Caenorhabditis elegans: one gene and its partners. The protein of the gene in region 3 interacts with the protein of the main gene of each other region in a pairwise test. Each region holds a gene or a part of one and is shown on either strand. Other genes may lie near its edges. The genes, in order: mrpl-16, tor-2 and pal-1.

The links.
Region 1: the proteins of pal-1 (region 3) and mrpl-16 interact in a two-hybrid assay, tested with the Caenorhabditis elegans proteins (one large-scale study listed by BioGRID).
Region 2: the proteins of pal-1 (region 3) and tor-2 interact in a two-hybrid assay, tested with the Caenorhabditis elegans proteins (one large-scale study listed by BioGRID).

What each region holds. Positions count from the first base shown.
Region 1 is NC_003281.10:4,702,887-4,710,198, forward strand, and holds mrpl-16 (Large ribosomal subunit protein uL16m), read left to right. Parts: upstream 1-1,517; 5' UTR 1,518-1,520; coding exon 1,521-1,617; intron 1,618-1,692; coding exon 1,693-1,777; intron 1,778-1,823; coding exon 1,824-2,148; intron 2,149-2,205; coding exon 2,206-2,421; 3' UTR 2,422-2,521; downstream 2,522-7,312. Other genes in the region: clp-2 (Calpain catalytic domain-containing protein), read right to left, coding at 1-104, 152-432, 480-762, 809-973, 1,068-1,130; pgap-2 (Post-GPI attachment to proteins factor 2), read left to right, coding at 2,633-2,673, 2,722-3,092, 3,138-3,244, 3,631-3,903; T04A8.13 (G-patch domain-containing protein), read left to right, coding at 4,268-4,360, 4,846-5,386, 5,435-5,496; T04A8.18 (F-box domain-containing protein), read left to right, coding at 6,362-6,451, 7,164-7,310.
Region 2 is NC_003282.8:13,980,679-13,988,569, forward strand, and holds tor-2 (Torsin), read right to left. Parts: upstream 3,464-7,891; 5' UTR 3,183-3,463; coding exon 3,122-3,182; intron 2,928-3,121; coding exon 2,744-2,927; intron 2,694-2,743; coding exon 2,006-2,693; 3' UTR 1,958-2,005; downstream 1-1,957. Other genes in the region: gei-18 (GEX Interacting protein), read right to left, coding at 409-499, 544-736, 861-1,158, 1,216-1,385, 1,447-1,551, 1,788-1,845; tor-1 (Torsin), read right to left, coding at 3,836-4,523, 4,577-4,760, 4,955-5,015.
Region 3 is NC_003281.10:4,804,864-4,812,754, reverse strand, and holds the start of pal-1 (Homeobox protein pal-1), read left to right. Parts: upstream 1-4,045; 5' UTR 4,046-4,046; coding exon 4,047-4,177; intron 4,178-4,653; coding exon 4,654-4,729; intron 4,730-4,783; coding exon 4,784-5,071; intron 5,072-5,395; exon of another isoform or gene 5,396-5,544; intron 5,545-5,606; coding exon 5,607-5,709; intron 5,710-5,883; coding exon 5,884-6,055; intron 6,056-7,501; coding exon 7,502-7,544; 3' UTR 7,545-7,891. Other genes in the region: C38D4.7 (C2H2-type domain-containing protein), read left to right, coding at 1,605-1,646, 1,691-1,876, 1,932-2,341, 2,388-2,442, 2,487-2,633. UniProt on the Caenorhabditis elegans protein: Transcriptional activator. Interacts with promoter regions for tbx-8.9, tbx-9, elt-1, hnd-1, scrt-1, and vab-7 genes. Binds the sequence ATTTATGAC. Binds to the enhancer region of the hlh-1 gene promoter during embryonic body wall muscle development.

The DNA of each region.
Region 1 (7,312 bases), 100 kb from region 3:
GAGATGAATGAGCAATCAGAGATAACCGTTTGTTTTATTGTGTGGCAATCAATTGAGAAGATTATCGTTGGATTTTCGAATAATTCACTAACCCGTTTCCAGCACTGAATAATGAAAGTTTAGAATTTAAAATTAAATAAAGTAAACCCACTTTTAACTTCATCCTCTGTTTTTGTGTTAAACTAATTTTCCCTTCAGGATCCGTGAATTTGCCTTGTTGACCTTTGAATTCATTCACTTTGTCGTAATTGTGAAATGGAACATAAAGTTTGTTGTTAATATTCGAAGTTGTGAACAAGACTGCCAGTTCTTCCTTTGTGAATTTTTGAGAATTCGATGGAGAAGGAGGAAAATTCCGAGTTGGAGATTTAAATGGCTGATTTGATGGAGTGGAAGGAGACGGTTGATTATTGAAATTTAAATTTGAAAGATCTGAAAAAGAATAATTTTCAAATTAATATACAATTCTTAATTCCAACCATCTACTGGTACTTCTGGAAAAAGCAATTCCACCTCTGTGACTTTCTTTTTCAAAGCTACAAGATCTTCTATACACTTTAATGCATTTTCGGCGGTGGATCTTAGTCTTTTTAATGTTTCCTGTGGAAGAGTTCGATTTCTTGAAGCTCCAAGGCATTGCTCTACAACGTTCTCGTATACTTGTCGAGCTTCATCCACTTGGTTTTCGTAGTTTTGAAATACTGCGGCTTTCACCATCAAATATTCAACATTATGCGCTATGTCATCTGTTGTTGGAGGATACTAAATGATTTAAAATAAATAAATATTCATTGTGACCAAAACTTGCTTGTTGTTGAAGGTTCTGGATATTTGATTTTAGGAATTCTGCTCGATTTATGCATTCCATTACATTTTTTCGAAAAATTGGCAGACATTTCTTTTCCTGAACTAATCTGAGCAACTGATTTCCAGCCTCGGTATAACAGAAAATCGCTTCTTCATACTTTTTACCCTGAAAAATTACTTTGAGATTTCGAAATCAACTGATTGATCAAACATTTTCGACAAAAATTAACTATTTCAGCAAAAAAAGCGATTTAAATTACCTGATCATAATATACGGCTTTTTGTGATAATTCGAACGCGGATTGTGTTGCCTTTTCATCCATACGCTGAAAACAGGAAATACTATTTCAAGAAAAAAATCTGATGATGCTGAAATTGTTCAAATAAAAATGAGAAAGTGTCTGTGCTCTCTGCGTTTTGTACAGTCTCTCGCCTGTAAGTTCAATGGAGCGCGGTTGTATGAAATACATTTATTTTATTTTTCCAACTCATTTTTTTTTCAATATTTGAAATTTTAAACTTAGAACCTTTTTCTGGCTTGAATAATCTTTAAAACGCATATTAATCACTTTAAAATATAGAAAATTCAGTAATTCAGTTAAGTTTTTATGCCTCAATGTAAATTATCCCTGATCTCCTTTCCAAATTGTTATTTACTTTGATCAAATTGAACATTTTTGTGTTTTACGAATTTCTTTTATTTTTTTCAGGTGATGATAAATCTCAGATGTGTATGTCGGGCTCCAGTAGCCAACTTGACACAGTTCACTCGTGGAATGAAGAAATACTCATTTCCTGTAACGTATGAAAGTGAGTTATTTCTTTTCTTTATTTTGAAGACTATTAGAATTTTTAACAACTGCTTCTTCATTCTATCAATTTCAGATGTCCGATTTCCACCAAATGGACAGTTGAAGCTACCAGTGATGCCAGCTGAGCCATTTTATGATGCCGAAAAAGGAGAGAAAAAGTAAGAGTTTTATCTCTAACCTATTGATAAAAGTAATTTAATTCAGATACAAGTCAACAAAGCGAATGATTGAGGCGAGAGGAGTAGAAGAAGTACATACAGAACTTATTCACGAGCAGTATGGCCTTGCTGCTGTATCAGGAGGATTCATTGATAGTGATGACTTCAAATTCATTCAAGATCGAATCAATAAAAATCTTATTGACAATCAGTTTTCTGTCTGGCGAGTTGATGCACCATGGCTGCCGAGAACAAAAAAAGCACAGGGAACTAGGTTAGGAGGTGGAAAAGGATCCATTCAGAAGTATGTGACACCAGTAAGAGCAAATCGTATTATTCTGGAAGTTGGCGGGCATATCACTGAAATTGAGGTATTGTTTATCATCTCAAAATCTCCCGAATTCAATTCCATGCTTAACATCTTATAGGCGAAAGCATTTCTCCTGTACCTTTGCGAACGTTTCTCATTCCCAGTCGAGTTCGTAAGTGAGACAATGCTTGCAGAAAGACGTAAAAAGGCTGAAGAAGAACGTGCGATGAACAAAAATGGATTTAATTGGGGTAAAGTCATCAAATACAACATGCAGAATTGTAACAGTTGGCTTTCAAGCTACGATGTCGCCTGGAAAGGAAAATATCGATAGTCCCCAAGAATTCTCATGGAAATTTTTTTAGAAATTGTAGTCTTGTTTTTATTTTTTTGAACTTTTTTGTTGTTACTATGAAGATTCTCCTTAACCTAAATATTCAAAGAGTATTATATTTATGCAAAAAGCTTGATTGCGCAGTCTAACACTGTATCTAGATAATTTTCAATTTATTTTTAAAACTAAATATTTCAAGTCAGCCGATTGGATGGCATTTGGAGACGATGATATTCTTTCAATCCCATTCAAGTGAGTTTTATGCACACTTTTATCTTCAATTTAATGTTTTTCTTCCAGGTATTTCGTTATCTGTATCGGAGGTCTACCATCTTCAGCACTTTTAATATGTGTTATATTATCTCTTCTACTGCACTTTGATCAGGCAACATCTACACATTGTGAAGTTGCCAACTGGTTACCATCCATATCAGCTGCAGTCTCAACGTATACACCTGAAAAGTATATTTGGAGAATTCTAATCGGATTGCATATTGGACCCCGATTGGTAGTTGCAATTGCATTCAGAAACTTTTTATTGGGATCTCCTCTACGACCTCTTACTGGACATAAAAGGCTTCGGTTTTTGTGCAATTTGGCTTGCTTTCTCAATCTTCTAGAGAATTTCTTCCTTCTGGCATTAACATCGATTTCATCAAGTGAAGATCACTGTAAGAACTAAAATGTATGAAATAGTTAACTATTTTTAAATTCAGCTCTTCATGCTAAATGCTTCGGTGGATTTGCTATTTGTTCGATTATATACATGCTTTTGAGCACATGGCTTTTCAATGAAACTGGAAGGAGAACTGCAACAAATTTGGTAAGTTTGCTCACATAATCTTGAAAATTAAAGAGATTAGTAAATAAAAAAGTAAATATTATCTAGACACGAGTAGTTTCGCCATAAATACAGTACTCGACACGCCTTTTTTTCTGTAAAATACAAACAAAAGATGGATCGATGAAAATTCTACAGCAAAAAGGTTTGAAGCTACAGTAATCTTCATAGGCGCACATCAGTTTGTATTAAAGACAAAAATGTCGTGTCCGGTCACCGTAGTTTTGGCAAAATCTGGCGTCTTGAATAACAATTTACGAAAAAAACCTTTATCCCCCAAGTCTAACTATTTTCATAAATTTTTATTTATTCTCCAAAACTTGTTATCTGTGAGAAATTAATTTAGAAAATTAATACTGAAATTGCAGGGTCAACGTTCGCACGAATATAAAATCCTGGGAGCTGCTATTTTCGTTCTATGCTTTTTCCTTGGAGCATATCTTTATTGGAGGCATAACACGTACTGCGAGCCAGGAATTTACACGCTCTTCGCACTTGTCGAGTACTCTGCCGTTTTATCAAACATTTTCTTCCATTGTACTCTATATTATGACTTCCATGGCAAAAATATTGTGTTAACCTCATCGTTTGGAGGCGGACACTACAACCTTCTGCCAACTCAAATCGATAAGGATACGTAACAATTGATGGGTCCTGATGTGATGACAGTTTTATTGCATGATATAATAATATATATTTATTTATTCCAATATTTATTGTTTCGAAAAGCTTCTAATTTTTCGGTTTGCTTCGGGTTTTAAAAATATGTTTCACTTGCATTTTCTCATATAAATGGTTTTCAAAAATATTTGTTTTCACACTGAAATTTAGAAGCAAATAGCCTTACCGTGGCATTCTAGTCTTCACGCGACACCCTAGTTTACAATATGCAAAAATTGCTCCCTCCTTCGTCATATGAATCACTTCTACATTTGAATCAATTTCTCGAAAATTGTAACGGAATCGAATCGTTTGCCAAGTTTACCAGAAAGTGGCCACTATAAGATGAACGATAAGAAAACTGAGAACCTGGGAAAGACCAAGTCAGGAAAGCAAATTATGAAACCTGGATACGATAAGAAAGAAGGTCTTGGTATGGTAAGTATAACTCTCGGCACACGGGCGCCTTTATCATCAAATAATGGAAGAACCGAAATGCGTCCTTCTAACACGGCCATGTGTCAATTTACGCGGCTCGTGTATTCCTCGAGGAAAAGCTGCACATGACTGTATTTGAACTTCACACACTTTCAAGTTGATTTTTTTAATATAAGTTTTTGTATACATATTTAGTCTGGAAACGTTTGTCTCGGTGACCATGTCGTTTTTTAATACATGGCCGTGGCCGCGAAACAGAAAACTCGGCCACCTTCATGAAATGGTTATGAAGCATTTTCTGGAAAATCGGTTTTGCAACACTACCTAATAATATAACTTTCAACACACGTTCATAGAAGAAAATTCGAGTATCCTCATTCGCCAGCTTGAAAAATGTGTCGTTATGAAAGAGCAAACTCGGCCACCGATTTTCGCGGCCACGCTGCAAATGCCCCCGCTACCACAGGAATGTTAAAAATTTTCAGGATCAAAAGGAAATTGTTGGAGATGACAAGAAAGACAAGGAGGCTCGAAAAAGGGAGAGAAAGTTACAAGATGAGTTTGCTGAATTGAAGAAGGACGAAGAAAAGGACAAAGAAGAGGCGGAAAAAGAAAAGAATGAAAAGGAAAAGAAAGAGGAAGAGAAGAAAGAAGACGGACATGAAAAGAAAGAAGACAAGAAAGAGGATAAGAAAGAGAATGAGAATGATGAGAAAAAGGAAAAAAGTAAGGATGACAAGAAAGAAGAAAGCAAAGAGGATAAAAAGGAAAAGACAAAAACCGAGGATAATGAGGGAAAGAATGAGGAGAAGAAAAAAGAAAAGAAAGAAGAAAAGAAAGATGAAAAGGAGAAAAAGGAGAAGACAGAGGATGATAAAGAGAAAGAAAAGGAGAAGACGAAAGAAGAGAAAGTCAAAGAAGATCCGAAGAAGGATGATAAAAGTGGTGTGGATACTATCAAGAAAGAAGGATCAACTGCGCCAGCATCAACTGCTTTGGTCCCACCTCCTCCACGTCAGAATATTCGTAAGTGGTCCTGTTACAAAGAACTATGAGAATAAGATTTTTTTTCAGCGCCTCCAACACCACGTCGTCCGCCTCCAAAAAAGAAGAACGCGTGTTGCGTCGTGCTTTGATGGCAACTCGTATAATAGTACTGTCCGGGGTCTAATGAAGAGTTTTAATTTGTAAAAATTATTTTGACAATGCCCAGTGTTCTGCAATATATGATTTTTTTTCTCAATTAATGGGAGTGTTGTTAAAAATTCCAAGGATTCAATTATATAATCGACTACATTCTACTTTGAATAAAAACAATACTCGGAAGTTTGCGTCTATGTAAGCAAACGTGTTTTGAAAAGTTTCCATGGAGATTGGAGGCACATAATTTTTAGAATCATTCATATAAACTTGCTTCTTTCGACATTTTCCAATTATTCCACAATCCTGAATCAGGAACCAATTGCACTATTTAGTTAACTGCTTTAAACGTTTAAAATTATCCAACAAAAAATCGTTTTAATAAGTTGTTCCAAAAACATTTTACATGATCACATCACTAGATTTTCCTCCGATCTATACATCCATAGATAAAGTCAGTCAAGACATCACTGGTTTATCAATAAAAAAATATGCAAATGACTCCCTAATCACCAAACATTTGAAGGATATATCTACATTTCAAGAGACATCGTTTCCAGTTTCCGTACTTCTCAGAATTCGTTTCCCATGGCACTTTGCCATTCTTTTCCTCTTCTCCTTCTCTCCACATTCCAAATCGATGTTCTTCTTCTTCTTCTCGTGTGTGAGTGCTCCGTTGAGCTTCAACTCCGCCCACATATTTCTCGTTTGCTCTAGTAGTCTAGTACGTCTTCACATTTCTCTGTTTTTGCCCATTTTCTCTTCTTTTCCAGAGAAAAAAGCCTCCACGCTCAACACATCCAGAATTTTTGTTCGATTTTTAATGAAACTCGTGAGTTTTTGCAGAAAATCCGTGGAGCAATGTCGTTGAGCAAGCAGGAACATCCAGATGATCGTATTTCGGCTCTAGACTTTCTTGGAGGACATCTCAAAATTGGAGTTACTAAACCAGTAAGTAGCTTATAGTTGGTTGAGGCAATGTGTGCTTTACTAATAGGAAAATAACCAGTTCTAACAAACTCCAAACTAGTTTTGAATTATTCCATCAGAGCTTCTGTGTAATCATGGAAATTTCGAGCTACCTATGCCTTGTAGGCTCATAGCTAGGTATTCTTGTGCCTGCTTGTAGGAAGCATTGTGATTATTCAAAAGCTCAAATCTTTACGACCAAATTGTTTTTCAGGAATTTTCGAAATAAATAAATGTTTAAACTTGGATTTTTAGAACATCACCCCCCCCCCCCCCATGGTGGCAAAATGACCAAATGTCATTGTAAAAATTAATTTCAAAAGGGTAAAATGAAAGTTGGCAAAAAGTTTAAATAACATTAAAAAGATTTCAGTTTTTAATTTTTTTTGGTATATTTTGAACAAATCTCAATTAGCGATAAATACTCTACTATTATGTGTGAAACTATAATTGACTTTATTTATTAAATGACACAAAGAAACATTCCAAAACATCACTTCAAAGTTTGAAAAACATAGAGACCACGTGATATGTAAAGCTTTATCAGAAAATAGGATAATTTTAAATTAATTAGTAACAATTCGAACACGGAATCAAAAAACACAAAAACTATGTTCCCATGGAAATCTTTTTCTGATGTCATTGTGTTCTGCTTTATTCATTTTTCATCCAAAGTATCAGTTTCAAATTTCAGCGTCCCCAAATACGTTTTGATTTGTCGAAACGTCATGTGGATTTTGGATTCAACATCAAGCAGTTCTTCACGACTCGAATCGGAAAACCAAAAGAGTTGAATAATGAGAAGTTGGCGGTGATTCAGGAAGTAATTGAAGAAGAACAGGT
Region 2 (7,891 bases), on a different chromosome or scaffold from region 3:
CTTTTTTTCAAAATCGTTTTGTCGCGCGGTCAGCCTTTGGTTTTGAGCGTTTCTGAGAAAAATTTGAGTAGATCACACGTAGATCATATTATATCTTCTTCTAATTTCACATTTAAATGTGCATTTCTATAGATTTTCCCTAAAATTTTGTGTGATCTACACTTGATCTGCCCTAAATTTTCACAGAAACACTTAAAAACTTGTTTTGTTTTCTCGTGAATAATATTTTTCTAATCAAAATTTTAATATAAAGGAACCAAATAAACATGAGGATTTTCAATTAAACAAATCTTTTGAAACAGTAATTTTTCCCGGTGAACAAAATTGCAGTAACCAAGTTTAAAAATTCCATATTTTTTCACAATTTCCAAGTAAACAAAAACTAAATTTTTAAACAAATAATTTTTATTATAAGCACATAAAATATGAAATCCTGGCTACAATTGGTGGAATATTGTCATAGTTTCCTCCATTTTCGATCCAGCGGTTCGTTACAAGCCTGGAATTTAATTGCTTTTTATTTTAAAAATAAAAATCACTTACTTCAAAATTTTCCCATCACAACTATTCCCAGAATAAGTAGTTTCTTCTGTTGATACTGCTAGGAGGAGTACAGTTTTTGGGATGGGAAAAGTTCCATGGTCCGCAAAGGCATGGAGCACTAAAACTGCATCCCATGCAAGAAGATCAATATTTGTCAGGACTGCTGTTCTAGGTGTCATTTGTGATGCGAGAGCTAAAGTGGTAAGTGAAATAAATTTCAAGAGATTTTCGGAAAAATACATTTACAACTATATAACGTAAGTGTCAAAAATGCCCAAAATTAATGAACTTGGTGAAACAGTTAAAAAAAAACTAACCATTGTTCAATATTGCATGTAGCTCTCCTCTTTCAAGTTGATTTCCAATTTCAATTGGTAAATTATTTGAATTTGTCTCTGATTTAGAATTTTGAATTGCCTTGTTTAATTTTTCAGAAAACTCATTAGCTTTCAAACCAGCAATAACTATGACAAGCGGAGCATGTTCATCTGGATGTAAAAACATTTGTTCACCAATTAATCTCAAAAGATTCCGATTTTCTTTTGAAATATCTGAGAAATCCGAATTGACAAAGGATCTTACTGATTCTATGTAGTTTTGGTAGGGGTTTCGATCCTGTAAATAAGCAAATTTATTTGTCGAAAGGAACAAAGTTATGTGGAAAAATCAAACCTGGTTTGGTTCATTTTGAAGCATTGAAAAAGTTCCTTGAGATATAAAAAAAAGTGCAGAGAGCAAAAGAATCAGCAGTGTCATTATTAAATTATTCGAGATTTCCCACTTTCTTGAAAATGTCTTTGATAATGTTTTGATCATATATTTTCTGTCGAATTGAACGGCATCTGAAGTAGCATGTATATTGTTAATAGTTACATTTCTGGACTTTTAGGGGAAAAAACTCACGGCTTTTTTCGGCAATGCACAAATTGCAAATTACATTTCCACCAGCAAGAACAATTTCCGTGTTTGACCAAATTTTCAAAGTGCAGAATTGGCATTGCGAATAATCTGGAAATCGTTACATTTCTGAATAGAAAACTACGGATTACATTGTAGGTAGATTTTTAGATAGGCCTTACCTACAGCAGGCGTTACGTTTTTTGCTATCTTTTTTGTGTACATATTGCTACCTATTTTAGAATCTAATTTTGCATAAGTTTACAATTTTTTAATTTATTCTAAATTTGCCTAAAAAATTAAAGAAAACAAAATTTTTTGGCGTTCTACAAACTTTAAAAACTCACACTGAGTTTTCTTGTTGAATTCCATTCCCATCGTTCCACTATTTTTCCGCGGAGTCATCTGAGGATGATAATGATATTTAAAAAAAAGAAAAACATGCATAAATTAACAAATTAATAAGTATTTGGAACTTCAAACCACTTAAAGCCTTAGAGAACACCGAACCATAAAAAATATTGAACACAAATTTATCAACATCTTGAAACAGGAGAAAATACTTTCACAACTCATCATTAAACTCTTTCTTCGAATTGAGTGAGAATCCCATCTTGGAAATTTCGAGATCAGTCTTTGCATTCACACGTTTACATCCTGACGAGGAAAATATTTTGCTAGATTCAGGGAAAAATTCAAGAGAATCAAGAACTCTTTGCATGAATTCTCCATCCTTTGCCAAATCATGTCTTCCGCGTTTTCGAAGATGTACTTGAATGCACTGGGAAACGTAGAACTTAGATAAGGGAAGAAATGGTATAAAATGATCAATAAGTTGATTAGAGATCATATCAGTGTTACGAAGACCACCTTCTTCATTGAATGCAGAAAGCATCAGTGTTCGTTCAAAATGCTTCAACTCGAGTTGTGATCTTATTTTACCATTTTCATGATGTTCTAATGCGATATTAGCAATTTCTTTGCTCCCTTTGTTGCTTAGAAAAATGAAGATAGTTTTCCGAAAGTCCACTCCAAAGACCGCCGGATAATAATCAAGAAATGGTTTGATCACTTGAATCAATTCACTTTGTAGCTTATCCGTCTCATCAAATATAAAAATAGATCGCTGACATCTTCGGGCCGATCTTATAAGTTGATCTTTCAGTTCCAATTTATAATCCTCAATATACTTTTTATTCGGAAAATTATTTGTTGCAACGAAATAATTCACAAATGGGCTGTGCATTCCACTTCTAAAACATAAACTTGTTTCTCAAAAAAATTTTAAGCAATGAAAAGTTACCGATAAGTATTGTTCACAATAATTTCAGTCACATAATTCTTTCCAGTGCCGGTTCCGCCGTGAAATGAGAGAACTAGCGGCTTCTGAGAATGCTCATTGTGCCAATGAGATTTGATTGAATGAACTACAGATTCTGCCATCAAGTGCTGCCCGAAAATTTTATTATCGAAATCTTTGTATAACGCTGAAATGTAAAGTTTAGAAAAATATTTAAAAAATAAACGGTTTTTCTTTCAAAAGTATCAAAAAAAAAAGTGCGAAAAATGCTCCTTATCACGGAGCACAACTCAAAATTTGTATATAGCTGTGTTTTACATTAGAAACAATTTGCATGGTGTTCTGAATTTTGACTGAATTTCTTAAAATATTGCTACTCACCATGATAATTGAATATATCCGTTTCACCGCAGCAAGTGTAAAATAAACATTTTAAAAACATTGGCATTGATAAGCTGTGGACATCGACGACTAATTGATTAAGAATGATAACGAAAATAATATATTTAAAAAATTGCATCTTTCTTTCAGAATAAAACAAAATATTTGACAAGTGAGAAGTAAAGGAAAATGAAATGGAACAGAAGATGTCGCTTGTTATCTGCGTATTCTTGCTAACATCAAAATATCCATGAGAAATCACACCGAAAAATAGATTGATGCACTGATAACGAAATTTGAAGATAAAGAAACATTGAACATAGAATTTAAATTTCAATAGAAACCATTTTTCAGCGAACTTTTTCATTTCAAAAGGGCTGATTTTATTCAAAAACATTTTTGTACCAATTCAATTTTATTTTGAGCAGTTACTACAGTTCAAGCTTAATGCAAAGATAATAAAAACTAATTAACTTATGAAAGGTGGAGTACCTGGTGGAGGTAAAAGTATCTGGTTCAAAATCATTTTCTACTCGCAAAATTAAATAATAAAATGAATACAATAAAAACGTAGTTATGGACAATTTGAAACAGGGGAAATATTTACAACTCATCATTGAGTTCATTCAATTTTGTAAATGTTGCTAAATCAACAAAAAAATTAAACACTTAGAATGAAAACAAATTTCTGGACATTTTGAAACAGAAAAAAAACTACAACTCATCATTAAACTCTTTCTCCGAATTGAGTGAGAATCCCATCTTGGAAATTTCTAGTTCAGTTTTTGCATCTACACGTTTACATCCTGACGAGGAAAATACCTTGCTAGATTCAGGGAAAAATTCAAGAGAATCGAGAACTCTTTGCATGAATTCTCCATCCTTTGCCAAATCATGTCTTCCGCGTTTTCGAAGATGTACTTGAATGCACTGGGAAACGTAGAACTTAGATAAGGGAAGAAATGGGATATAATGATCAATAAGCTGATTAGAGATCAATTCAGTGTTTCGTAGACCACCTTTCTCATTGAATGCATGTGACATAAGTGTTCGTTCAAAATGCTTCAACTCGAGTTGTGACCGTTTTTTAAGATTTCGACGATGTTCCAATGCAATGTTCGCAATTTCAGAGCTTCCTTTGTTGCTTAGAAAAATGAAGGTAGTTTTTCGAAAGTCAACTTCAAAAACGGCTGGATAAAAATCAAGAAAAGGTTTGATTGTTTGAACCAGTTCACTTTGTAATTTATCCACCTCATCAAACACGAAAATGGATCGATCACATCCGTCGGCAGATTGTATTAGTTGTTCTTTTAGTTTCAATTTATAATCCTCTATATGTTTGTTGTTTGGAAAATCCTTTGTTGCAACAAAATACTTCACATATGGGCTTTGAAGTCCACTTCTGAAACACTAATGCATTTTTTTCAGAAAGTATGCAAAATCTTGAACAATTACCGAAAAGTGTTTTTTGCGATGATTTCAGTCACATAGTTCTTTCCAGTACCCGGCCCACCATGAAATGAGAGAACTAACGGTTTCTGAGGATGCTCATTATGCCAGTGAGATTTGATTGAACGAACCACAGTATCTATTACCAAATGCTGGCCATAAATAAATCTAGAAAGATCTCTGTGTAGCTCTGAAATGGGAAACTATAACAAGTACTAACTCAAAAAGGGAGTTCTTTCAAATTTTCAATACAGATTTTCTTTTGGCTTTTTTTTACAAAAGTACAAACTGTCTCATTCAAGCTTAAAAGGTGCGTAAATATTTTAAGTATTCACTTTTTCCACCGGAAGAGTCTAATTTGTTCAAATTGTATCTTATACTCACTAAGATAATCGAATATATCCGTTTCAAAACAGCATGTGCAAAATAACCATTTTAAAAACATTGGCAGTGATAAACTGCCGATTGGAAAAAGAATCAACAATAAAACATAAATTCTCATCACAAAAATGCAAAAATAGGTCAGAAATAATTTTGATGTATGTAACATAAACTGTGAAATTGTTGGAATTTTAATCCCACAAACAATTGGAAAGGGATTACTGGTGAGCAGATTTGTGCGAAATCAAATGACCATTCAAATTATGAATTGCGTTTGTAATAGATTCTATAGGTAACTGAAAGCATGTTTTTATAATGTGCAATCAATTATAATTAAATTTTCTGAAGCACAGTTTCCTAGGATGAAAAAACAATTGAAAAAAAGTAAACTGTACGATGTTGACAATGAACACGCCATTAGATTCAGTAATTAACGAATTCAATAAATGTTTTGAAAATGATTTGTGGAGGAATTCGATGAATGGGTCGATTAATCAATGAAATTACTTATAAAATCGAGAAAAGCTATCTATAAAAGTAGCAGAGTTTTTTTTTGTTGAAAAAGTAAAACTGTATGTTATTTATGTTCCATATGTGCTTGATCCAAGGAAGTGCCGCAACCTTTTGCTCTGGAAGTTTCTGATTTTTCAAATGTTGTTAAAACACTGTTAAAGATACTATTGTGACGTCAGAATTTCCTAAGATAATATATACCTAGTCCATTTTCTGTAGAGCAAAGAAAGAAGAGATTCCAATTATTTTTAAGATTCCAATTAGTTCTATTTTTTGTGACTCGCGTGTTTTTTGGTGCCTGAAAAACTATTTTTTTTGATAACGCGGCTAAGCACAGAATGGGACAGACTTAATCTTCCAATATTTTCATAACTATATGAAACATACAAGTTTTGGAAATATAAAAAGCTATAGAATTAAAAATAAACAAATTATCAGAAAGGTGTCAAATTGCAATTACAATTACCAGTTTTTTTACGGAGAAAAAATTTGCTCGACTAAAAATGGTGTTTCAATTCCAATTTTCAGCTTTTCAATTTTCAATAAAAATTTTTTAAAAGCCAAAACAAAGACGGCAGTAGAAAGATTTTTCTGGGTACGATAAATGAACCATTAGAAACAATAGAAAAAAGTTCCACATTTATCAATGTTTGCAGAATATTCTCGATAAACATGAATGTTTCAAAGCCATACAAGAGAAATCTGAAACAAAATTTTAATTGACGTATACTATGGGAAAATTGTATTCAAAAATGTGAATATGGAAAAATACTTCGACACAGCGAAACAAACTTTTTATATCAAATTTAACAGTTACAAATGGCTGAAAAACGCTGCCTGAAGCGCATATTTAGGAGACCTTCCGAAAAAATGTTTTCCAGCTTTGACAGATGTTTCAGAAAAAACAAGTTTTCATATCTCTCTGGGAACTAAAACAAGAGTAGCTAGCAAGTTAACCGGTTTAAAATTTAATCTTGCAATTTTAATCAGTAATTTTATCAAAAAAAATCCAAAAATAATTATATTATTTCAAATAGTTGTGATCTTTCAATTACTCTTTAGAAATTTAGAAACAGTTTGTTATTGTACCGAAAAGTGACTTACTAAAAATTTTTCATTTAAACAATTATTACAAAAGTACTGATGAACAGATTTATAGGAAATCAAATTACCATTCAAAAAAAAAAAGAATTTAGTTTGTAATCGATTCCAAAGGTAGTGTAGATATTTTTTTGAGAACAACAAATAAACAATTAGAAACAGTAAAAAAAATTGAAAATACTCACATTTATCAATGTAAGCGGAAAATTCCTGATAACAAGCATGTTTTAAAATTATATAGTGTGATTCTCAAACAAAAATGTAATTTATTGATTTATTTACAGCATAATTTTATTTTGAATTTTAATGGGGAAATATATTCAAAAACTGTAAATATGGGAGGATACTGTGAAATAACAATTTATACACAACTCATTTGTCAAATAAGAAAAATGTTCAGAAAATAACTTTAAAAAAAACGCTGCCTTTGGTACCTAAAATGCCTAATCCACAACAAACTGAATATTACTAAACTCCTAATATTTTCAAAATACATAACACGAATGTGTTATGTATTCTAAAAATTAAGATTTGATTCCAATTCCCAGTTTTTCAATTTTAATCAAATTGTGGAGACGCCAAAAAGATAAGTAGAGTAGATTTATGCAAGGAGCAATAAATAAACAATTAGAGTAAGTAGAAAGTGTTTAATGATCCACACATTCAACATCACCATATTTCATGAAAAATTGTTTAAATCACACAATGTTTTATTCAAATATTGAAACAGAAGTTTTTTTTAAATCTAAAAAAATTTGCACTGTTTCAAACAGTTGTGAAATTCCAACTACGCTTACAAGTTTGTTCTAATGCAGAAATTTTGTTCACTAAAAATTTATATTAATTCCAATTTCTAAATTATCAACTTCCAATTAGTAACCTCAAAAGGCTAGAAAATAAAAAACAATTGGTTACTTGGCTCAAATGACTTAAATTTATTCTGCAATGTTTTTTGTGCTCTCTTGGTGCCTGGAAAATTAAATGAAAGCAAAGCTAGCTATTATTTATCTTCCAATGTTTTCAAAACTATATAAAACATAAAAATTTTAAAAACAGTTACGAAAATAATTTTAAAAAATCACTGTTTCGCACAGTTGTTAAATTTCAAATGCGCTCACAAGTTGTATTGGACTATTGAGAGTTGTATTCAAAAAATTAAGATATAATTCCAGCTTCCAGTTTTTTAATTTTCAATCAATGCAATGTTTGGAAGACACCAAAGAGATAAGTGGAGTAGATAGATTTATTTTAGGAAAAATAAATAAAATATTAGAATAAGTAGAAAATGTTTCAATTATCAATATTTTATATGTTTTAAGGATATAA
Region 3 (7,891 bases):
AAAAATTACTCAGTTTTCACTTATCATCATTTTGGACGTTGATCATAAGTTGTATTGTATTGTATTTATTACGATAGAGTTGTTCAACAAATTTGGTAATTTGCCAAAAAATTTGACAAAATAGTCCGAAAAGTTGTTTCAATTAGATACTTGGTTTTTTGTAATATGTTTTAGTTTTAGTATATTTGGTATGAAACTCCTTACAATTGGAGATGATGTTCTTTTTTCCAATGTTCCACATTTTCCTAATAATCCGTTTTATCTTTCCTTGAATACATAAACACATTCTCTTGAAGATCATACTAATTGTTTATATCACAATGTGCTCTTCGTCGGGCTCGCGTCAAAAGATGCGCGAAAAGAAATGCGACACCTCCTCCTCCAACTGGGTCGGCGTTAGGCTTTTTCTTTATTCCTTCCGCATCACGCTCGTAAATCGTGGTATCAAGCTGAGAAGGGCCGTCTTTCTCTGGCTTCGGTATCGGTATCTCATTGCGAAAAAAGCAAAGGATATAAGCACTTAAATTATACAAAAGATTATACATTGTTTGGTGTTTTGCCGCACAGTAATCCGCAGTAAGACAATCCAAGTGGTTGCGCCACCCGTCTGTGAGAAACCAACAAAAAAGTTTCACAAAAGTTTGGAATACCTGGGTTAAATTACATTTTAAAAAGTTTCAGGAAAAAGTACATTCTGCATTTTAGATTTTTTATTTCGTTCATGTTTTGGTAAATTACCAAATATTCCAACAACGTTTTTTTTAGTAATTTAGAGAAATTTAGAATTGAAATATGAATATAAAGTTATTTTTTTGATTCGTTTAAAATTATAGAAAGATGCTTAACAATTTTAGAATATAATCCTCCAAATAATCGGGGAAAATTCTTCAATTGATAACTTTCATACTGTATACTTTCAGAATGCAACATGTTATCTTCAGGCCATTTAAATATTTTTCTATATTTTGAAACTAAATTTTAATTAAAAATATAGGCACAACATTCTGAAATAGGCTATTTTGTAGAAGTGATGCACACACAAACTTTGGCAGATTGTATCTCAGCTGCTATTAGTCTTAATATCAAAAAATGGCAACAAGAAAAATATGTTTTATGTATTTTTCTCTACGACATTGCTGTTGAAAATTTGTTGATATCTTTCAAATGCAGAGAGATATGAGCTTCCCAAAAGAGCAACTACGGCAAAAAATAAAAACTGTATTGTAAAAAATTTTCAAAAATTTGCTTTGAAAATTTTTTTTTGGAAATATATTCAGAATATTCTTTTCAATTTCATTGAAGTTTTCTAATTTTTCCCTTTAAAACAAAATGTTTTTAAAAAACGAAAAAGATGAACTTCCGTATGACCTCACGTGCCTCTTGAAGAGATGGGCGAAGCAACGTGTGCCACGTTTTTCGTCAGAATCGACATTCTCGATTTTAACAGTTCACTTTTTCACCTTTTCCTCTTTCCTTTTCAGCTTTTGATTCGGAATTTTTTTTATTAGAACGTGTTCACGCTATTCTTCTCGTTGGGTCTCGCCACGATCACTGTCGTTTTAGCTGCTAAAAGTGCAAATCTTCACAAAATCATACATTTCAGGATGAGCAAGCCAAGCACTCCAGCTCCAGCCTCTGCTGACCAAGTGAGTTTTTCATTTCATTGTACCTAAAAAATAATCGTTTTCAGAATGGCGATTCCGCCACCCGACAGACTGCCCAGACTACTGAAACTCCCGCGAGTTTGCTTTCTGCTGTGGGAAATGGTGCACCGAATATGGCGGGATTTACCCTCAACCGCGATATGGTCCCATTCTTCCCCTACCAACTCCAAAATCCGATGCTCCAACCACCACAAAACTCTTTGGAAAATGCGGTTAGTACATTGACTTTTACAATTGAGCCATTACTGAAATGGAATTATTTTTCAGATTGTGCACTCACTGGGTACTCTGGCTGCTCAGTCATCCATGTTTGGGCAGTTGTGTGAGAAGATGCTAAAAGCCCAAGAAGAAGCTCGCGCCGATCAACGATCCATTCGCGAAGAGCATCGAGCTGAAAGAGAGAAGGCCGACGAGCGGAGCCAGCAAAATATGGATAAGATGATGGCACTTGTCCATTCTCTCGTGGAACGTGTCGATAGGAGCCACGCTTCGTCATATGATGTGGTTGGTCAAAAGAATCCATCGTCCAGCTCCCTCAAACCAGCGAAAAGAGTCAAGTCTGCCGTTGTTCGTCAATCCAATTTAGCCAAGCGGACCGGAGCACCTGTTGATGCTGCAAAGGAGTTGAAAAAGATTCGAGATGAGGAAAACAGAAACCATGGACGATCTGCTGAAAGGTAATTCTAGTTGTGTTTTTTTTTTCAATTTAAATGAGAGTTTCAGAGATAATGTGTTCATCGGTGCAGTGCTGGTGGGGAAAGGATCTCAGTACGATAAGGTAAGCCTGAAAATTATAAAAAATTAGTTGAAGTTGTTTTTCAGGATCTTGAAAAATTCAAGAGCTTCCGATGCAGGACCTGCAATGAAGTTTCCCAGACGAAGGAGCAGCTCGTGGATCACTTTTCAAACAACCACGCCGGCGAACTTGGGGCGAGAAGGTCACTGCGAATAAAGCAGACCTCGTGTTAAATTTCTTTTTTAATTTATATTCGTTTTTGTTTTAAAATTTAAGCTTTTTTGATACAAATAAATTTTATAGTAAATAAATCTTGTTTCTCCTACCAGCTATCTAACTATTCCCAACAGTGGGTGGCAATAAATACGAGACGCGGCTCTTCTCACGGCGGTATCATAGATGCACAAAGAGCAAAACGATTACGCAACAGACAGCCGGGTCATATTCAGGTCAAACTTGATAGTGCATGAAATCGAGTAGTAAGCGACTCTTTGATATTTTCAGATGCTCCATTTGTTGTTCTTCATGACAGCTGCAGAGTTCCCAGATCGTAAATGTTTAATGTTCTGAAAGAAGGTACATAATCAGTCAAAGGGCGGTCTCATTGTTGCCTTTTATATCAAATCTTTGGAGGACAAATTGTCGATTTCAGCAACATTTTTTGTTAAGAATCTCCAACTTTTAGAATAACTATTTAATAGATCACTCGTTTCTGATAAGAGAAATAATTCTCTGCTACCGTAATCTTTGCTCCACATGAACCTGTCAGTCATAAATGCTCATTCGTATCGTACTCAATTAAACTTTCATCGCTCATTTATTTCCTAATGAACATCGTAATGGAACCTCAATTCCAGATGGGCTCAATGGCCGGTAGACTTACTATTATTTGGGCGAGTAGATCAAATATGAGGTGAGTGATCTATTTTTCAAATTATTTTAAAGGCGGGATCTCATTGAAATTAAATTTAGTGGCTAAAATTCTTCTTTTCTTAATTTTTGGCTAGATGATTTTTTCTAATCTTTTTCAAAATTTTATAATTTTTAAAATATTTATTTAAATAAAAAGATATTTAACAGCAAGTTAACTATTGAACAATAAATTAAATAAAAATCTTCGTAAATCGACAAGTGGAAAGTGCGCTCTATTGAGCTGATCAGTCAGTAAAAATTTTTCAGTGTTAATTTTTTTCTGTTCTTCATTTCTGTTGAGTTTTAACGTTTCTTTTATATTTGTCTTGCTAATTTCAATGCTAAAAATCAATTCTAAAAACGCATATTTTATTAAAGTAAGAAAATCCATCTTCGAATACAGTCTCGGACAGTTTCCTGCACAGACCAATAATTTATTTCCCAACGAACTGGGCGTTTTTGTTTCCTTGCCGACCTGTCTCATTGTAAAAGTGATATGTTTGTCTGAAAATCGACGTGTGGCTATAAATCATTCACAATTCCCTCTCCCGTTCATATCTGATAAATCCCGCCTTCCCAAGTGCTCAATGAGCCGCAGGAGGCGGTGCCGGGTTGCCAGCTCGTTATTTTATTGCTATTCTCATCAAATCTCGAAAATCTTCCTTCAAATTTTGAATTTTTATTACTGTTCACTTTTCTCTATATAAACTGATAATTACTTCCTCGTTTTCAGAATGTCGGTCGATGTCAAGTCGGATTTTTCGGAAAACGAGTCCTCATCAACACCTTCACCAACAACAGTTCCAGCAGATGTCACGTGGCCTCACTATCCAATGATGCCATTCATGCAACCACATCCTCTGAGGCTAGATCTTCGAAATTTTTATTTGGAATCTCAAAATCAACGAAAAATTAAATATTTCCTGTTGGTGTTTCATTACGACCAAGTGAACAAAATTAAATACCATAAATATTTAATAATCCAGCACACACACATGGTTGTAAATCCATGCCCTTTCTCTTATTTATCTCCTTCAAAATATTTGCTAACCATGTATTTATTCTCAAATATTGTCGCCTTTTTGATGATAGAATTTGTTTGAAAGGTTATATGCAAATTTTCGATCTATCCGGAGGGTACGGTAACGCCCCGCCTCCACAGTGTATTGGAAGACATTGCTCCGCCCATTTCCACCGTTGGAATGAAGCGGGAGGGTGTCTAAGAGGTAATAGGCGTGTGTGTGTGTATCAATTGACAAGAACATTTGATTAAGGAGGTGCTATATTTTGAAGTTTTTCTTGTTTTTTTTTTTCATTTTATACTTAATTTTCTTTTTTCAGAGAAAAGATGCTGCAACCAACATTTGATCCACAAATCTATGGAAGGTGGTCACAAATGGGTGATACTGGTTTTTACGTACGTTTTGAATGAATTTCCTTAAGGTTTTTTATTTAAAAATTGAATTTCCAGGGACATCCGGATCTCTATCCATTCGGCCTTCCACAACTCGCTGCCAACGGACAAATTCCAGCAGTAGAAGCCGTTGATGTGAAGCCACCGCTTTCGAATGGAAGTAGCAGTAGTGATAGTGGAATGTATCCATCACCGAGTGATATGATGACACCGTTCCCATCAACATCATCTGGAGCTGCATCTTCTTCAGAGCTTTCAGCAGCTGCTGCTGCTGCAGCCAACTACCAGATGAGAGCTGCCACGTGTTATCAGCAATCTGTTTGGCCGTTTATGGATTATCAACAGGTAATCATATAAAATTGTATTTTAATACCTTTGTTGGCTTTTATAACACCAAAAAACATAATTTCCTAGCGAGACTTTTCAAAAACTGTTCACATTTTTTATGACTCTAAATTGTTGGTACAGTTTTTATTGAATTTTATTTTTTATTGCATATTTTAGGTACGGCTACTCGCGTTTATTCATTGATTTAAGCAGTCTACTTCCAAAAATTACAAAAATTCAGTGCCTATCGGCTTAGAACGCGCCTAAATCAACGAATTAACACGAGATAAATTACCAAAATATGCAATGAAAAATGAAAACTTACTAAAAACTGTATTTCAGCTACTAGACAAGGATAAGTTGATAAAATTTTAGATTTCAGCATTTTTGGCTCTTTTCGATATTTTAAGCTGCCATAAAATTAGGAAATTCTGTCGTTTGTGGTAACTTGTCTAATAAATATCTCTAATAATGTCTAATAAGTCTAATAAAGCAGCCAATTTTTGATCTGTTAGTTCTCCTCCAAGTGAGCTTGTTTTAAAGATAATTTAAGTTTCAGGGATTCTCGTGGAAAATGCCTCTTGGAAACAATCATGGAAAGGATCGAAGATCAAGCAGTGATGGGAAAACATTACCAACGGGACCTGGAACGAATAGTAAGTTTTCAAAAGAGTCTCCCCGTGTGCAAACAATCTCTCTTCAAGTGAAAAAGAAGCCGCTATCAGTCATATTTATCAGTAACTAGGACAAATGAATTGAGTATTTATGATTCCTTTCCCATCAATTTCCCATTTTATTACGAGGGAGTTTGTAATTAAACTTATTTTCAGATGTCCGTGTACGAACAGCTGACAAATACCGTATGGTTTACTCGGATTATCAACGCCTTGAACTGGAAAAAGAATTCCATACATCGCCATTCATAACATCAGATCGCAAGTCCCAATTGTCGACGATGTTAAGCTTGACAGAACGACAAATCAAGATTTGGTTTCAAAATAGGTAGATTCTTTTTTAAACTCACTGCCTAAAATGGGATGATTGATTACTACAAATTTGAAGACACCAAAATAATATCAAGTTTTCTTGATTTGGCACAGAGATGAAAGGCGGTAAAGGTGATGCGGTGTATGAGTTACGGTGCTTACGCAATTCGACCCGTGTGGCAGGTAGCAGGAGAGTCTTTAGCCGTGAAAGAGTGTTAGAGTGACCTCAATTTATATGATGAGAGGTGGCAAATTGGGATTGTTATGGTGTGAGATGTCATATTAATAGATCTGAAAGTTTAATTTGGTTTATTGGAATCATGAGATTAGACTTCAAATATTGACACATATTTCACAACGTCATTTAATTAACAGATGATGTTGCCCTCTGCAAATCTCATTTGAATTCATTCATTCCGCGCCCTTTCGAGCCAAATACGTTGTTTGCTGTTTGCTGTTTGCTTACTCTTTCTCAGGCTTTTCCAGGGGACTCATCACAATGACTGTCACCTCCTACTGTAACCATAGGAAAAAGTACCACCACACTTTCGTTCTTTAAGATTCAGTTCAGTCCACGCGCGCAGTAGAGATAGTTCCAAGGAATTAAAGAGTCGTAAAGTTGTGTAATTGGAGGCCACAGTGTTTGAGACGTGCTGGTGGAGGTGAGGAAGAGATGAAGTTTGTTAATTGGTCCGTTTACGACTTTCTAATTGGTATTACTGTAGAAGAGAGGTGGTCACTGCTTGCATGTGTGGCTATCTACGCGTTCGGGGATTTGGAAATTAACAAGGGAATAGGATATCTAGTGCGAATTTCCAAGTTATTGGGATAAAACACTTCCCGTAAAGTGCTACTGTTAATCTCCTTCACTCGCATGTTAAAGGGAGAGTATCGTTTGTAGGTTTGCAAAAAAATATACTCAAAATGCCCCAAATTTCAAGTTTTTGCCTTTATTTAATTAGGTGAGGTTCTAGCTCAATGAAAGAGTCTACAGAAATGATAAAGCAAGGGTTTCTGACCAGCTCGCAGAGATATACCAATTATCTGCTCAACAGTCGTTTTTTTTGTTGTCTGTTGCCTTGTTTGACAATATTAGTGCGCATCGAAAGATTTACGAGGGGAATAGAAACGTCGTCGGCAGAGATTCCCAGAGTGCTGTAAAATGGAAATCAATGTGTGTGTCCCTTTCCTGTAGCGTCCCAATCCAAACAGACATACATACTGTGTTGGACAGACGTGACCGCCGTTTTCCTGGGAAGAGGTAACATACGGACGAACCATACCGGTCATTGTATTCATTAAAAGAAAGGGAATATAAACCAAAAGATTGATGTTCCCTATCCCTTTTCTTTGAAAAGCGTATTTTTTTTGAATTCACCACTGGGACGGCATCTTTTTGATCTCAATATATTCTGATAAATTGTTAATTTCCGTAATAATACTGTAATATTTTTAATTGCAGGCGTGCAAAGGATCGTCGTGACAAACAGAAGATTCGGCTATAAGTACTCATCTACTTACAAAGAAAATGTACAAAAATTCTGGGAATTTTCATATTTTTCTAGAATATTGTACACATTTATTATATTTTTACATTTCTCTCGCTTGAATACGGTTAAATTCACACTTTTATATAATTTCTTCCTGTCCCATCTCCCATTCTCTCACATCAGAATATTCTAATCATCACTGCCCTTAACATATATATATATATATTTATAACTTTCCGATCATTCCTTCTGCTTTGTAAACTAATCCAATCATTCTCTAATGAATTATTCCCTAATATAGAGCTTCTTTATTTATTGTGATTTCTTGTTTCTTACCCTTCTCAAGGTTTAGGAAAAAGTTT